Linked DNA regions of Macaca fascicularis. The protein of the gene in region 1 purifies or fractionates together with the protein of each later gene. This does not show direct contact. Links are inferred from orthologs where the notes say so. Each region holds a gene or a part of one and is shown on either strand. Other genes may lie near its edges.

What was found.
Region 2: the proteins of OS9 (region 1) and SERPINA1 purify together in Homo sapiens (affinity purification with western blotting; 4 studies listed by BioGRID). This does not show direct contact. The link is inferred for Macaca fascicularis from reciprocal best matches to the Homo sapiens genes OS9 and SERPINA1.

The regions. Positions count from the first base shown.
Region 1 is NC_088385.1:64,528,936-64,537,571, reverse strand, and holds part of OS9 (protein OS-9), read right to left. Parts: intron 3,036-8,636; coding exon 2,825-3,035; intron 2,715-2,824; coding exon of another isoform or gene 2,712-2,714; coding exon 2,296-2,711; intron 2,116-2,295; coding exon 2,064-2,115; intron 956-2,063; coding exon 867-955; intron 674-866; coding exon 395-673; intron 1-394. UniProt on the Homo sapiens protein: Lectin component of the HRD1 complex, which functions in endoplasmic reticulum (ER) quality control and ER-associated degradation (ERAD).
Region 2 is NC_088381.1:162,412,739-162,422,130, forward strand, and holds the start of SERPINA1 (alpha-1-antitrypsin), read right to left. Parts: upstream 4,651-9,392; 5' UTR 4,608-4,650; intron 4,263-4,607; 5' UTR 4,172-4,262; coding exon 4,056-4,171; intron 1-4,055.

The DNA.
Region 1 (8,636 bases):
TTCTCTTGCCTCAGCCTTCCAAGGAGCTGGGATTACAGGTGCCCATTGCCATGCCTGGCTAAGTTTTTTGCATTTTTAGTAGAAAGGGTTTCACCATGTTGGCCAGGCTGGTCTTGAACTCCTGACCTCAGGTGATCTGCTCGCCTCGGCCTCCCAAAGTGCTGGGATTACAGCGTGAGCCACTGTGCCTGGCCAGAGAGTCTGATATTTAAGTCTTGTGCCTCTCTCTGGTCCCCCTTCCCCAATAGCCCCGATTAATTAGGGAAACAGCTATCATTTCCAAGTGCCCCGTCCTTGCCCTGTGCTGTGCTCTCTGTTTCTTTTAGTCCCTCAGCCTGTCCTGCTTCACGGGACCAGGCGGCTGTGGAATTACAGGAGGAGGAGCTGGGCTTGCCTCCTGGATGATGTTCTCCAGTTCCCGCTCCATGCCAGCCTTCACCTCCGAACGGAGCCGGTCTCGGTCTGACGGAAGCAGGATCCCTTCCAGTTCCTTCTCAAATTCTCCCAGTAACTGCTGTTCATCCTCATCTTCATCCTCATCCTCATCCTCGTCCTCCTCTTCTTCCATTTCTCTCTGCCGTTCTGGATCACCCCTTTCCTTCTCCTCTGGTTCCCTCTGAGGGACTTCTGCAGCATCATCCACAGGCTGCTCTTGGCCTATATTTGGCTTCCCCTGGGTGGGTAGGGAGTGGGGAGAAAGAGGTAGACAGTTGGAGTTTCAACAGAGACACATGGTGGGGGGCAGACAAATAGTAGCAGGTGTGTGGTACTGGGGGACCCAGGAGTTGAGTCCCAGGTCAGCGTAGGTTTTCAAATGCTCGCAGTTGGGAGGTGGGTTCTACCCATTCCCTGAGCATGGCCTATACCTTTTTTGTTCCACCTTTCAGCTCCTCTATGAATCGAATCAAATCTGCAGGGCTTCGAATGACTTTGACCTGCACGTTGTTCTGAAAATCTGAGATGAAAGAGTAATAATCATGAACCAGTTCTGTTGTGTTTAAATTTTTTTTTTTTTTTTTTGAGACGGAGTCTTGCACTGTCACCCAAGCTAGAGTGCAGTGGTGCAATCTCTGCTCGCTGCAACCTCTGCCACCCGGGTTCAAGCGATTCTCCTGCCTCAGCCTCCCAAGTAGCTGGGATTACAGGCGCCTGCCACCACGCCCAGCTAATTTTTGTATTTTTAGTGGAGATGGGGTTTCACTATGTTGGCCAGGTTTGTCTCAAACTCTTGACCTCAGGTGATCCACCTGCCTCAGCCTCCCAAAGTGCTGGGATTACAGGCATGAGCCATCGCACCCGGCTCTTTTTCAACATGGAGTGTTACTATGTTGCCCAAGCTGATCTTGAATTCTTGGGCTCAAGCAATCTTTCTGCATCAGCCTTCCAAGTAACTACGATTACAGGTGTGCGCTACTGCACTCCTAAGTGCTCTTTGGATTCCTAAGGACAGGTAATGAGAGATCAAGGAAGGACACGGTCCCTGCCTCTAGGGTTTACCTGTTAAATAGTGAGACAAGGGCAAACATTCGTCTGCAGAGAGCACTGTTCTAAGGTGGACACTCCGGTAGGAGAGATGGATGCCAACAAGCTGCTAAGTCCCCACTCTTCCATGCACTTCTGAGGCCTTTCTGGCAGTCACTCCAGCTTTTAGGACTACAGAGGAGATCCTGGGGCTAAGGACTTATCTTCCCTGGAACCCTTCTCCTCTTTCCACAAATATTAACCATTTAGTTTATTCAGTTCCAGGCCTTCTACTATGAATTATGGATGCATTCTCATTTAATCCCGTGCAACTCTCTAGGGTAGGGGTTATTACCCTCATTTTATGGGTAAGAAAATTGAGGTTAAGTGAATTACAAAGTCACCAAGTGGTGGAGCTACTGTGTTCTGCCACCTTGCTAAAATAGCAGTGCTGTCTACAAAGAGTATTAACTCCTGTAAAAATGAATTTGCTGCTGGCCTGGCTACTCAATCTCCCTCCCAGTGCTTAGCTCTCCCTTCCATCTCTATCCCTGCCAATCCTAAAATATATATGGTAAAGGAGACATGGAAGGTTCACTCACCATTGGGAGCACCTGGAGCTGAATCTGTTGCCTCAGGGCTTGGGTCCTGCTCCTGACAAGGAGAAAAGGAAAGAGTCAAGTATGAAAGCCTGTTCATGCCCTCCATACTATGAAGGCAAAGGTTCTGGGGATATCCTTGCATCCCTAGGTAGATGTAGGTCACCTCACAATGACCTCAGCTACAGTGACCCTCCCCATTCCCATCCCGCTCCTCTGAGGCAGCTGGTCTCACCTCAGCCTGCATCTCCTCCCCTCCTGGGGCCTGGTCCTCTGGTTCATTAAGCATCTTCCAGAAATCTGAGTCCTTACTGTCATCCTTGGTCGGGCTCGCACCTAGGGTACAGAGAACAGGGAGACATTGATCTGACAGGAGGGGTGAGACAGAAAGGAGCAAATAGGATGGGGTCCCTTCCCCTCCTCTATCACCAAGGGATGAGGGCCCATGGTACTCTCCCACTCCACCCCACCAGTCAGTCAGGACAGTAAGATCAGGGGAAGGGAAAAAATGGAAGCGAGTTTCATGGAACAGGTGAAACAAGGTCCTACCTGCCATTTTTTGGGGTGCCACCCCAGACTTGGTCTCACTCCACACTTGGGGGCCCAAATCTTGCAGCTCCTCTATGATTTTATCTCCATACTGCTTTGAGTCTACTGAGAAACAGCATGCAAGCAGGCCAGGAACGCATTCCTCTGGCTATTCAATACTTGATCTTTTGCCGCCCCCTACCCCCGTATCTTCTCCTCCTTCTCTAATTACTCACCTGCTTGCCTCTGAACGTAGGCCATGTACTCCTCAGGCTGCAGGGAAGGGTGACAGAGGATGGCCTGGGGTGCAGCACTGGGTGGGGGCCGGAGGAGAGGGTGGGGGCAGAGCCGAGGAGTGCGAATGGTCAGCACATAAGAGCAGGACAAGGGCTCGTCCACGCGATCGATGTAGTCCCCAGAAATACCTGCACCCTCGTCACAGAGGAACTGCCAGGACAGAAAGGGTGAATACACTTAATCACCAACAATAACTTGCTTTAGTTCTTAGAGCAGGTGTCTTTACTAAGCACTGATTATCTGTCAAGCATTGTGCATACACTGTGCATATGGCACTTTACATAAATTTGCTCACTTAATTATCACAAAGACCCAGTGAAGGGGTATTGGTATCTCAACTTCGTGCCTCAAGAAACAGGTGTGATGCAGTTAAGGCACTTGTTCAGGTTGACCAGCTTTTAAGTGGTAAAAACAGGAACTGAACTCAGGCAGTTTAACTGTAGGTAACCAATTTGTGTTTCATATTCTTATTTTGTACAAATATTGTGTGTGTATATATATATATACTTATATTTGCTTTATATATGTATTATTATTATTATTATTGAGATGGATTCTCGCTCTGTCACCCAGGCTGGAGTGCAATGGCATGATCTCGGCTCACTGCAACCTCCGCCTCCTGGATTCAAGCGATTCTCCAGCCTCAGTCTCTCAAGTAGCTGGGATTACAGGCACCTGCCATTATGCCTGGCTAATTTTTGTATTTTTGTAGAGATGGGGTTTCACTGTGTTGGCCCAGCTGGTCTTGAACTCCTGACCTCAGGTGATCCACCCGCCTTAGCCTCCCAAAGTGCTGGGATTACAGACATGAGCCATGAGGCCTGGCCTGTATTATTTTTTAAAGTGTATATATATTTGTGTATAAATATGTATTTTTCATATATGTGTATATGGTTAAAAACTTCAAACAATTCTAAGATTCTTATATCATTCAGAAAGAGGGTAAAGATATTGATTGGCCTTTGATAAATTAAGCATGCAATATTCTAATTTCTAAAATAACTATTAAAAGACAGCCTGGTGGTTCACAACTGTAATCCCAACACTTTGGGAGGCCAAGGCAGGAGGATGGCTTGATGCCAAAAATTCAAGACCAGCCTTGGCAACATAGTGAGACTTATCTCCACAAAAAATTTTTAAAAATTAGCCATGTGTGGTGGTGTGCACCTGTAGTCTCAGTTATTTGGGAGACTGAGACTTAAGGGATCTTCCGTTAAGAAGATCAAAGTTACAGTAAGCCAAGATCATGCCACTGCACTCCAACCTGTGTGGAAAGCAAGACCTTGTCTCAAAAACAAACAAAAAGTGGGAGAGGTCCTACTTCTGAAATGGCAGCATGAGGGACTTCGCACACTCCACAGGGAAACTCCATAACTGATGAAAATTTAAAAACACAAAGCATGGCCAGGAGCAGTGGCTCACACCTGTAATCCCAGCACTTTGGGAGGCCGAGGCAGGCAGATCACCTGAGGTGAGGAATTTGAGACCAGCCTGACCAACGTGGAGAAACCCCATCTCTACTAAAAATACAAAATTAGCCGGCCTCGTGGCACATGCCTGTAATCCCAGCTACTTGGGAGGCTGAGGCAGGAGAACCACTTGAACCTGGGAGGCGGAGGTTGTGGTGAGCTGAGATCGTGCCATTGCACTCCAGCCTGGGCAACAAGAGCAAAACTCTGTCTCAATACAAACAAACAAAAAAACACACAGCATTTAAACTCTTTGGAAATTTTCCTAAGGACATATAACAAATGAGGAAATGTTTACTCAAGAAAATCTACTAAATCTTTTTTCTTTTTCAGACAGGGTCTCACTGTGCCACCCAGGCTGGAGTGCAGTGGCACGATCACAGCTCACTGAATCCTCAACCTCCTAGGTTCAAGCAATCTTCCCACTTCAACCTCCCAAGGTAGGACTACAGGTGTGTGCCACCATATCCAACTAATTTTTAAAAATTTTTTGTAGAGACAGGGTCCCACTGTGTTGTCCAGGCTTTCTCAAACTCCTGGGCTCAAGCAATCCTCCCACCCAAAGTGCTGGAATTACAGGTGTTAGCCACCATGCCCAGCTACTAAATCTTGAATAGTGAGAATTTGCAGCACTTGAGCCATGACCTGCTCCCTCCACAAAAGCCATGGGGTGGAGGGCAGGAATTTCTATCTGGAGTTACTACAACCCCACCCAATAGCTCAGTTTGACAAAAGCTCCACTCCAGCAGGTGAGTGTAGTTTAAAAAAAAGGTGGGGTGGGGTGGTGGAAGGGGGGAGGGACTTCCTATTCTCTTAATATCCAGTCATGAGATATGGTATATGGTGTTTTACCAGGAGGGCCACGAGCTCCAAGGTACAGCAACTAAATTCCTAAAAAAGATCAAGGGCTCCCTTCCTCCACCCAGCCCCACCCACAGGGCAGAGGCTTTACTTCAAGTGCAGTGGGACAAGAGTATCAGGGCCCTGATTGCCCTCACTGAAGCTTGCTCAGAGAGTGGAGGGTTCACAAAAGGAGATGCAAACTTAGAGAGTAGAGGCTGTCATCCCTGCCTAGCTCCCTGCTCATAAAACAGGAATGTCCTTCCAAGGGAAGCAAGCCATTGTTCCTGACCCCAACTCCAGAGCAGGGCCTGGGAGATTTTGCCCAGCAGGAGAGGCAGTCCATAAGATCACACAGCTCTAACATTCTCCAAAGGACCTGACTTAATATGAAACAGAGTATGGGGAAATTCAAGCTTACAGGCACTTCAAAAATGTAGAGATTTTGGCAGGAGGCAATTAAAAGGAGGCTGATTGTTCCGTGATAGCAACAGGCTAAACTTTGGGACAGCTAGTTTAACAGAGAGAACCAGGGAAAGGGCAACTGAGAGCCGTCCTGGAGTCATAACAAACCTACATATTGCCCTCAAAAACTAGCCTGACAAAGGGGCCCACAATTAACTGGACTAAACTATGGAACAACTTATGCCCCACATGTCGAAAACAATAAAGCAATTAGTTGGCAATGAGTGGAGCCTAACAGCTGGGGGTGATACCAGCAGAGGCAGATGGCTTAACAAATTCATGAAAGAAACAGTCAGAAAGAGCCTGTTGAAACCACTGTCATCTAGTGTGGCTGTGTGCAGGGCCAAGATTGCCCTCTGAGAAGACACTAGAGGCTTCATGTTGTGAGGGAAAGAGACTCCACTCAAGTAGTTCAGCCAAGTCACTGAACAAACAAAAGCCATGGGGTGGAGGGCAAGAATTTCTATCTGGAGTTACTGCAACATACTATCTAAAATGGTTTTCAACAATTACAAAACATGCAGAAACAGTAAAGTATGAAACATATATAGGAAAAATATGCAGGCAACAGAAACCGCCCATGAGAGGGCCCAGATGTTGGATCTCACAAAGACTTAAAAGTAGCCATTACATTAATAAATACGTTCAAAGAATTAAGAATTTAAGTCATACAAAGTGTGTTCTCTGACCACAATGGAATAAAATTAGAAATGAATAAGGAAAAAAATTTGGAAGTTCAGAAATATGTAGAAATTAAACAATAATCTCATAAGTAACCAATGAGTTAAAGGAAAAAAATCAAAAGAAAACTATAAAATACCTCAAAAATGAATGAAACTGAAGACACGACATATCCAAACTTACAGGATGCAGCTGAAGTAGTGCTTAGAGGGAAATTCATAGCTATAAGCATCAATTTTTTAAAAACAAAATCTTGACTCCATAACCTACCCTTCTACCTTAAGAAACTAGAAAAAGAAGAACACACTAAACCAAGAGCCAGCAGAGGGAAAAAATAGAACAAAAATAAATGAAATAGAGAACAGGAATACCATCCTATGTGTCCAAAGACAGGGAACCACAGATACACCTTTGTAGGGAGTTTATATATGTTTTTAAGTTTCTGTAATAAAAGGTTTCAAAAAAGACAATCTTTAAATATCCATAACTTGCAACTGGCAATTATGCTTTTTTTTTGCTTACTTTCTTTTCTTTTTTTATAGATGCAGGGTCTTGCTGTATTGCCCAAGCTGGTCTCATACTCCTGGGCTCAAGTGATCTTCTCTCCTCAGTCTCCCAAAGTGCTGGGATTATTGGCATTAGCCACTGTGCCCAGCCCAATTATATATAAGAGATATTTACACATGCATATATGTACAATGTAATAATCATTTGTGATAACAAAAGAATTAGGGGGGGAACTATTTCAACCAGTAGAATAATGGTGACAAAATGATGGAACACACAATGGAACTTTATGCAGCTATAAAAACTAAAAAGGGCCAGGTGTGGTGGCTCATGCCTGTAATCTCAATACTTTGGGAAGCCAAGGCAGGTGGATCATGAGGTCAAGAGACTGAGACCATCCTGGCCAACATGGTGAAACCCTGTTTCTACTAAAAATACAAAAATTAGCTGGGTGTGGTGGTGTATACCTGTAGTCCCAGCTACTCGGGAGGCTGAGGCAGGAGAATCCCTTGAACCCAGGAGGCGTAGGTTGCAAGGAGCCGAGATCACACCACTCCACCCCAGCCTGGGCAACAGAGCAAGAATCCGTCTCAAAAAAGAAAAAAAAAAAAAAGATGTACTGCCATTGAAAGATCTCTAAGGTTTATTGTCAAGGGAAATAAAAGCAAGGTATAGAACAGTGTGTTTAATTTACTATATATTGTTTATAAATAAAAAGGAAAGGAAATAAGAATCTCCATTCATAATTGTTTGTAATCATACAAAAAAAGGCTGGAAGGATACATGCAAAAATAAGACCAGGGATAACCTGTGGAGCTGGAGAAGGGATGGTGGGGAGAGAATGGGAAATAAGCAGATGAGAGACAAGTAAGGGAGGGAAATATTTCTTTTTTTTTTTTTTTTTGAGACAGAGTCTTGCTCTGTCGCCCAGGCTGGAGCATAGTGGCGTGATTTTGGCTCGGCTCACTGCAACCTCTGCCTCCCGGGTTCAAGCGATTCTCCTGCCTCAGCCTCCTGAGTAGCTGGGACTACAGACATGCCCCACCACACCCCGCTAATTTTTGTATTTTTGGTAGAGACGGGGTTTCACCATGTTGGCCAGGCTGGTCTTGAACTCTTGACCTCAGGTGGTCCACCTGCCTCGGCCTCCTAAAGTGCTGGGATTACAGGCATAAGCCACCGTGCCCAGCCGGGAAATATTTCATTACATACCTTTTAAATAGTATTTTCTGGATTTTGTATCATGGGAAAGTATTATCTATTTAATAATTATATAAGGAATTTAAAATAGCCATTAAAAACTTGTGAGAGATATATAGGTAGTTGGAGACAAATTTATGAGATATAAAAGAGGAAAAGCTGAAAATGAATGAGCTAGGCATTCATTTCAAGAAGTTGAACAAACAGCAAAATAAACCTAGAAAAGTAGAAGGGAGGAAAAGAAAGATTAGAGTAGAAATTAATAGAAAACAAATACAACAGAGAAGCTCAACAGAGCCAAAAGTTGGTTCTTTGAAAAGACTAATAAAACTGACTTACCTCTGATGCAACTGACCAATAACAAATGAGTGACGCAAAAATAACCCATAAGGAATGAAAAGAGGAACCTCATTACAGATGCCACAGAGATTAAAAAGATAGAAGAATATAATGAACTTTATGCCAATAAACCTTAAAAGTCAGATGAAATGAACAAACTCCTGAAAAGAAAACTTAAACTAACCAAAGTAAAAATAGAAAACTTTGAATATTCCTAAAACTACTTCAGAAAATGGATCAGTAGTTAAAA
Region 2 (9,392 bases), on another chromosome or scaffold:
TTCCCCCCCAACACTCACAAGGATCCTCAGCCCTTAGGGTTTTTTCCTAAGAGAGGGGGCTGTCCCCACAATGCTCTGTGGTCCCAGCCACAAGAATAGGCTGATGTCCCTGCAGTCAGCTCACCTGCCATCTGGATCACCAATGGTGTCCCAGTTCTGGGCTCTTGCTGTCAGGGACTTTAGAGAAGCTCATCTCTCCTGTGAAGCAAGGCTTTGTGCTGCTTTAAGGAGATGGGGGTGGTGGGAAGTGAAAAAGCATCTCTTTTAGCTTCAGATAGACCTGGGATCTAATCTGACTCTGTCACTTTCCAGGTGTATGAGCCAGGACACGTCATTTATCTCCCTGGTCCTCATTTTGCCTCATACATGAAGTGAGGCTGTTGGAAGAATTTAGTGAAATAAGTCTAGACACCAAACCTTACATCAAAAGGATCTGAGAGGGCAACCCTTTTGAGGGAGGGGTTGACAGGTGTTGCAAATTCAAAGCCTTCAGGTGATAGTCCAGTGAGGAATACATGTTTCATAGCTGGGGCTGAGACAATAGGGAGTGGTGGGGCCTGTGGCTGAACCGGCGAGAGCAGGCTCTGCTGAGCAATGGTCAGAGTCAGTGTCATCCACAGCAACGCAGAGCCTGCCATGCCCCACAGTGCTCCTTCTACTCCAGATATGCCCAGACTTCGGACCATCAATCTGCAGCCCCCTAAGTAGAACCTGCTGTCTACACAGATGGGAAAACTGAGGTCCTAGCTGAGGAGAATATGCCTGGCAGCCACATAGTTAACTACTAGTCACAAAAGTAAAATCATCATCTTAACAAAATACAAAGAAAAAGGTGTCCTTGAATTTGGGAAATGAAACACTGGAGAAAAAAGTTGGAAATAACAAATATTGAGATTCATTGACCCCTGGACTGTTAAAAGTTTCTTTCCAGTAAAGCAACAAAATGAAGCCTAAAGCTGGTTTCTCTCTACCACCTTTCTCCTGGCCCTCTTGCCTCTAAGTAATCCAAATGGAACGGACCACACACTACATAATACATGTTTGTATTTTTCTTCAACTAGCTAGTGTTGTTAGAACTGAAGACGGTGCTAAAATTAGTGCTGTATATTTCCATCTCCCTTAGGTTTCTCTTTCACTTCCCAGCTGGATTTTGTGCAGTCCTTCACGGTTTATGGAAATTCCCCCATCATTACAGGGCTCAGAGGTCAGGAGGGAGTTGGGCCTCTGCAGGGTGGGGACACTAAATACGCTGAGTGGCCTTAGGGCCAGAAGTTGTGGCTTTAGTCCTGGCAGGGCCACCACTATCCATTTGGCCTTGAGTAAGCATCCCCTGGTCCTGGGGCCTCACTCTCCCCAGTTGTGCAAAGTGGGGCTGGGAGAAGACCTCACTGGGGACCTCTGTATGCTAACATAGGATTTTTTTTTTTTTTTTGAGACAGAGTCTCGCTTTATCCCCCAGGCTAGAGTGCAGTGGTGTGATCTTGGCTCACTGAAACCTCTGCCTCCCGGGTTCAAGCAGTTCTCCTGCCTCAGTTTCCCAAGTAGCTGGGATTACAGGCACATGCCACCACGTCTGGCTAATTTTTGTATTTTTAGTAGAGACGAGATTTCACCATGTTGGCCAGGCAGGTCTTGAAATCCTGACCTCTTGATCCGCCTGCCTCGGCCTCCCAAAGTGCTGGGGTTACAGGTGAGTGTCACTGCACCCAGCCAGGATTCTTGGTTAGAATGGCATCTGGGTTCGATGTAGCAAAACAGATGGAGAAGAGGCACCCTCCTAGACAGGAGGCTGCTGGGCTCGAAGGAGGTGGCGAGGCTGGTGCAGGGAGGGTGGAGAGGGGGTGACAGCTGGGAGGAGCACAATTCCCCACACCCATCCATCTTTCCTGGCGTCACATCACCTCCTCTGGTTTCCTCCTTTCACAGTGAAGAGTTTGAAGCCCAGAGAGGGTCAGGGCCTTGTCGAGGCCATACAGCAAGTCGGTGACAAAGCTGGAACAAGTCTTGGCTTTCCCAGCACTCAGATCACGGACTGAGACAGCTGTGCCCTCAAATCTCAGATGATGAATGGCAGAATTGGGCTCTGACATTGGTCTCAAGCTTCGTGTTGGGTTCATTATGCCTCCCAAGCTGTTCCTCATAGCATCAGGACTCCAAAACCTGCTCTCTCCCGGCCCTTCTATCAGAGGCAGCACCCTGCACCCTCAAAAGCTAGTGCCTGGGAGGGCGGCTGGAGAGGAGAAAGTAGATGGTCAAGTACCCCATGGTGTATGGACACTGAGGCCAAGCTTTAAAACAGAAGAATGAAGACTTCATGGTGACATTTCTGGAACTGGGGCAGGTGGGAGCACCCTTTGCAGGGCCAGGGAGAGGGAAGCAAGCCACTTCCTGCCTAATCTCACACCATTTCTACCCGGGAGCATAAAATAAGGGACCAAGAGCAACCCAGCAGGGTGCAGGGAAGAGAATCTCGCCTATGGTCAAACGACCTGTTGAAATGGGCAATAAATAAACCCAAGTGTGACCAGGCCCTGTCACTTACTGGCAGGGGGCCCGGGGTAAATGACTTCACTTCTGTGAGCATTGGCTTCAGAGCTATACAGTGGAGAAAAGAATCCCTTGGAGAGAGATGAGGAATAACTGACGTAATGCGAGAGTGGGCACCAGGTGCGGAAGCCGTCCCTGTGCCTGCACAGAGGTTGAGCTCCTGCCCGAGAGATGGCAGATTTCTTCCTGCCAGCTGCTGCGCTCCCCAGGACCCATTTCAGCAGGAGGGGGCTCCTGCTCAGCAGTGAACAGCATCTGAGTTTGGCCAATTTTCCATTAAATTCTCCAAGTATTTGTTTACTGCCTGCTAGCTGCCTAACCTATGCTAAGCAAACATCAACCTCAGTGTCACCATCATTGCCACACTTACTAACACCAGGCGATTTACAGGCACTGTATCATCTAATCTGTCCTCAAAGCTTACCCTATGAGGTGTAAATGATGAACCCTATTTTATAGACAGAAAAATTGAGGCCCAAAGAGGATTAAATAACTCACTAAAAATCACAGAGCTACTTGCTTACAAAACTGAGATTTAATCCCAGATGTTTTGTCTGGGATTAAACAGATGTGACTGCAAAACCTGACATTTAATAGTCTCTGTGTACAAAGCTGGAGCCAGAAGTCTTGAACCAGAAGATTTCAGAGGTGGCCTGGCTAAATGAAGAGGGGCAGCCTCAGTTTGTGGCTAGAATTAGAGGCTCTCAGGCCAGATTGCTCCAGATCAACTTGCTATTAACTGTGTGACCTTGGACACGTTACTTAACCTCTCTGAACCTCAGTTTCCTGGAGATGAGAAAGGTGGACTTTGTCATAGAGTTATTGTGAAATTAAATATGCACAAAATACCAAGAAGTGCCTGGTGCACAGTAAGTTCTCAAGAATACCAGTTCTTGCTGCTAGTGCTGCAGGTCTTTTAGAGGCGTTCTATGGGAAACTGGCCAGCTTGGCCTTGGTCAGCTTTTTGACCCCTGTCTCCAAACTCAGTGCAGGAAAAATTAAATTCTTCCAACACTCCAGAGATCAAGGTCGGGTGGGGTGAGGGGAGGGGACAGAGGTCAAAGGTTATCATGTTTTGCCCAAGAGAACAGAGAGGTTGAGCAACTGTCTGAAGTCACCGAGCATCAGAGAGGCCTCAAGTCCAGCCCAGGCTTCCTGTTCCCCATCCAGCGCCTGAGACCTGAGAGAAACGGTGAGCACTAGGGCCAGGCTCAGGAGTTCGGGGCCTGGAGCCAGGTGCCTGAGCCCAAATTATGGATGGTGTGTGATTTGGGGCCAGTTATTAACCACTCGGTCCCCAACTTCCTCATCTGTAAAATGGGAATCACCCTGGTAACTGCCTTGGAGGGTTATGAGGCTTAATTGTGCACAGAGCTTAGCCGTGGCCTGGCACAGAGCGATTATTCAGGAATGCCAGCTTGAACCCTGGGTGACGGTGCCCCTCACAGCTTCCTGTCCTCCACTGGGACAGGAGGGCCCAGAGGTCCACAGTGCAGGGGGAGACCCACCTTGATGTAAGGCTGAGACCTGGCACAGGTCTGTTCCTGGCCGTATCTGGAGGGGATGGAGAATGTGAGCCGGCGTTCCTCCTCACCCCTCCCTGAACCTTAACCTCCTCATCCATAGAAGGGGAAAAAGATGCGTGTCCAAGTAGTAGGAGAGGTGGTGAGGCTTACAGGAGACAACAGATAGGAACCCCCTGACAGACACAGGAGCTGCACAAACAGAAAGAAATGGCTGCGCTTCCTTGCTGTTGCTGTATCTTGGGGTGCCAGGACCGCGGAGCTAGACACCCTCGTGCACTTCTGCTTACAAAAGCCAGTGTATCCACCAGTAGGTACTGAGTGGGGACCGGGCAGGACTGGGAAGCAGGACACAACCCTCATGGCTGCTGTTATTACGACAATAGGAGCCCAGCTGCAGCCCCTCCATCTGCCCGGCACCTCAGCGGGCGGATACCCGCTCCACAACCCCCCTCCTGCCCCAGACCTGCTGCCTGCCTGGGCCGTGGGGGACTCAGAAGCCTCTCCAGAACCTCTCGCAGTGAAAGGCATACTTACGATTCACCGTCCCAGGTCAGTGGTGGTGCCTGAGGCTGAGGAGACAGAGCCCTGTCCTTGTCCGTATTTAAGCAGTGGGTGCAGAGGGGCAACGGGGGAGGCTGCTGGTGAATATTAACCAAGATCACCCCAGTTACCGGAGGAGCAAACAGGGACTAAGTTCACAGGCTGGGCGCTGAGTCGCCCGCCCACGCTGTCCGGACGCTCTGCCTGAGCAGCATACAGCCTCCACTGCACGTACCAAAAGGAGTCATTGTACCTGGCTCAGAAACCACAGTGTCCTGCGTCCAAGGTGGAGGGGGTGGCGTGAGTCAGCCAGTCGCTGGGAGAGTACCACTTTGCTGGCCCTCTGCTCTCACTGCAGAATCCTTAGCGGCTGTTCCACTGGTAGCAAGATCTACCATTTACTAATTCACCCCGAAATGCCTGATGCTGAAGACTGATGCCGCCCTGGGAGATCAGAGTGGGTTAGAGCCCATTTGACAGATGAGGAAACTGAGGCTCAGAGCAGAGAGGCCGCTCATCCGAAGTTACCCAGTCAGCCTTAGACACAAAAACCCTCTTGATTGTCCGGATGGAAAAATGGAGCATGACTGAGGCAGACACAAGCGTCAGGCCAGCATGGGGGACCATGAGACAGGGTAGAGGTGGGAGAGCAAATCTGTAAAGAAGCGTGATGCTGTCTCAGGCAGGCCGCTTCACCTGTTTGAACCAGGAAGTGTTTCACCTGCATCCTAGAGAGTTGGAAGTCTCATTCCCAAGCATGCTTGTGAAGTGCCTTGGGTGAAGTGCCTGGCACACAGTAGACTCTTTATGTGGGTCTGCACAGCCCTCTGCTTAGCCTGCCCCGCAGGCTGCTCAGAGCAGGAGGGGGTTCAATTCTGACCAGCCTCAGGCCTGTTTCTGTTTCTGCTCCTGGAAAATCAGTGTGATGCGTATACAGCTTGGATTTTCTTTGGGAATACGGCCCCCATCCTGGGGTTGATGGAGGTCTTTGGGGACTACTGGGGATGGAAGGGAGGGGTGGTACAGGGTTGAGGCCAGTAGGGCCCCACTTGATTGCAATCCCTTTAAAAGCCTAAATCAGATTGCATCACCCTTTGTGCAATGTGCAAACTTGCTTGGGAGCTGGCGTACGTGCCGTGGATACTTCCAGAATGAATGGATGAGTGCATTTTTTGCCCCTTCTGTCATTCACCAGTCCCACTTATGCCTCCACCTTGGGGCTCTACCAGGCGAGTGACCCACAGGATCCTCCAGCACACATATTCAGACCAGGGAACCCACTTACTGGCTGTGAGGCCTCAGGTGAGTTGTTTAACTGCTCTGAGCCTCAATTTCCCCATCTGTAAAATGGGGACGGTGACGGTATGTACCTTGTTGAGCTGCTGTGAGGATTAAAATGCAACAGTTCAAGGACAGCTCAGAGCTGGGTGCTGGGTGTGCCCGGAAAGTCCCTTCTGATGCTGTCCTTCCTCCCCCATGTCAGGGGTCACTGGGGTGGGGTGGGCCACATTTGAAGAACTTTCCTCCAGGCAGTCTCATTCAGTTACCCTGTGAGGGGAGTAGGTACCACCCTCTTTTCAGGCAGTGGGAAACTGAGCTCAGACTCCCCTCCCCTTCTCTCTGAGCTCTCTTCCCTGCCAGCTCCATGCCTTGGCTTCAGGGCCCCTGTCCTTCCCCTGAGCTGGCTGAATGGATATTCTACTACTCTACGTCTACTCACAGCTCCAGTGCTGGGCTGTGGTTGAGGTCGCCTGCCCTCGGTACCTGCTGGGCATTTCTTCCCCTCTCTGAGCCTTCGTTTTCCCATCTGTGCCATGACCCCCACTCCAAGCCCCACTGTCCCTCCCATCTGTGGAACAGAGTGAGCAGCAGCAGCATTGTCCCACCTTTCCTGCTCTCCTCAAGCTCCGTCTCCTCTGGCAGGCACAGGAGAGTGGCCTGGGGGCTGGCAGAAGGTTGCCGCCCCTCCTACCTGGAATTCCTGGCAGCAACAGTGGCTAGGCCTTCCTCAGAGTGCCGATCCCCTCCTCCTCCTTTGCTCAGCTCAGTACTCTGAGGGTTGCCGCGTGGAGGCAGTGCACGCCCTGGGCACAGGGCCCAGTTCCTGCCCACCCAGGAAGTTGGCCTCGGGTGGCGGGTGGCGGAGGCAATAGGTTGGGGAGGGGCGGGGAGCTTGGGCAGGAAGGGGCCTTGCCCATTGCCAGGCAGACACAAGACTGGGCCCTCATAAACTCAGAAAGCCCTGCATATCACCTGTTCTACCCACCCTGTCAGCTCTGTGACCCAGGACGAGTCACCCTCTCCCTTTGAGCTACCGTAAAAGGTGCAGTCACACTGCCCAGAGGATTACTAGAAATGACAGGCCTTGCCCTCCTGGCACAGACCTGGCACCAACATCTGGCAGGTTTCTGGGGCCAGTTGCAGAGGGAAGAGGACTGAGCCACCTATGACATGCCCAGTGGGCAGCCCTGCGGCTGGGCAGGTCTGTGTGCACTGGGGAGGTGTGTGTCATAGGACCTGGCTGGGTGCAGAAGGGATTGCAGCGGGGAGCTGGGGCATTTGGAGGAGGAATGAAGAAAGCATGGGTGGGAGCAGGTGGGGCAAGTAAGGGGCTCAGAATTTGGGGTCCTGTTCTTTTGGTTCCAGGGCTCTAGGCTCAGCCCTTGCCCTGCTCTGGACATCCATCCTGGGAGGAAGGGCTGGGATGATCTGGGAAAATGCACCAGGACAAAACCCCGGGCGGTAGGGGGAGGTGGGAGCACTCAGTGGCCATTCACAAGGACACTGTGACCCCAGGAACCCCAGGACACGATGGGGAAAGTCTTGTCCACTCGGTTACTTCCAGAATTGTCTATTGCAGCATCTGGGCTGATCCCCTCAGAGGAAATGCGTCATGGGAAGATCCTGTGAGCTGGTAATGAACAAGGGGCATCTGGGGAGGCCCTGCCCCATCACAGGGCCCTGCTCGGAGATGGGAGCCTCGTGGTATATGCTGGATAGGGATGTAGGAGTCAAGATTTGGGGTCTGCAGCAAGGAAGCGGGTAAGGGGGTAAGCCTGGCCACAATGTTGGGCAGGCTGGTGCCAGTGGCCTTGGGCCAAGTAAATCCAGACTGAGTGACTGGTCAGGAGAACAACAGTGGACTTCAGGGGAGCTGAACTCATTGGCAAAGTGCCCCGAAGAGTGCTGGCCACCCCACAAACACACACATGCACCATGCACACCCTCGCTCTGCACCCTCCCTCCCAGGCACCAGCTTCCTTCTTTGGGAGGCAGTGCAGGTCACTGGTTAAAGCATGGGCTCAGGATCTAACATCTGGGGTCAAGCCTTAGCTCCACCGCTCTTTCTGTGAGCTCTTAGACAAGCCACTTAACCTCTCTGTGCCTCGGTTCCCTCATCTGTGAGATAGGGAGACTCTTAGAAGAGTCACTTCCGTTAGGATTGTGAAGATCAAATGAGGTAATAACATTTAAGCACTTCGGGCAGCCTCTGGCATGGGATGGGCCCCAAGTCAATGCTAACCACCAGAAGCCACAACCTTTGGGGATGTGTCCTCGCTCTGAAAAACCTTATAGACAGGTCTCAGGGGTCTAAGTGGGAGAACAGCTGCTGCGTTTGGCCCCAGACTTGGTGAGCAGCACCTGTTGTTGAGGGATACCTCCTCAGATTCAAACTTCCATTTTTTCCAGAAAGAGGCCGTCAATCCGCTCTTTAGGGGCTCTGCTCATTTTGGCTTCCTGAAGGTGCATCTGCATCTTTCTGAGCACCTGTGACATGCAGAGGACGTGGGGTGACTGGAGCTAAGCGGACTTGGATCTGGGGGAGGGCCTCAGTTCTCTGAGAATTGGTTTCGTTTTCTGTAAAATGGGGATAAAAGTCTCTTTCCCACGTAGTTGTGAGGCTTAAATGAGGCGATGCTGGTGGGGTATTTAACACAGAGCTCTGTTAGCATAATTGACACTTGTGTCTGTCTTCCTATAACTCATTTAATTGGTGGGGTTAGTTGGGTGTTCGAAGTTTATCTTCCAGGAGATGAATGAATGAAGTTTGCACCATTTGTTTACCTCCTTGAGGGATCTTTCAAATTAACCAACTTGCAAAACCCCAGCAGACACACTTTCCTTCTCTGCGTCACCTCCTGAGCCGCTTCCTGTGTGTCGGGGGGGTGGTGGATTTCTGCTTTTTCTGGAACTATTTGGCCTACTCACAACTTCTTGTTTTTCTTCTTCTTTTTTTGAGACAGAGTCTCACTCAGTCACCCAGGCTGGAGTTACAGTGGCGCAATCTTGGCTTACTGCAAACTCCACCTCCTGAATTCCGGAATTGCAAGTGATTCTTGTGCCTCAGCCTCCAGAGTAGCTGGCATTACAGGCATGCGCTACCATTTCCAACTAATTTTTATATTTTTAGTAGTGGCGAGATTTCATCATGTTGGCCACGCTGGTCTCAAACTCCTGGCCTCAAGTGATCCTCCTGCCTCGGCCTCCCAAAGCGCTGGAATTACAGGTGTGAGCCACCATGCCCGGCCTTTACTCTTTATCCTTACTCAGACAGAGAAAAATAAGGCAAAGCTGTACCTTGTAAGGGGCAACATAGTTAAAAGAAGGAAAAAAAATGCATCTATAGCTTCATCCCCTTCTTGTTAAAATTAATAAAACTAATGTTTTATTGCAACTAACCTTTTCTGAACTTTATTTTAACTTTACTCTTTTGAGGTTATGGGCCATGATGGTCATTATGGATTGGAAGATTTAAGAGACGAAATGTGTCCTATTGAA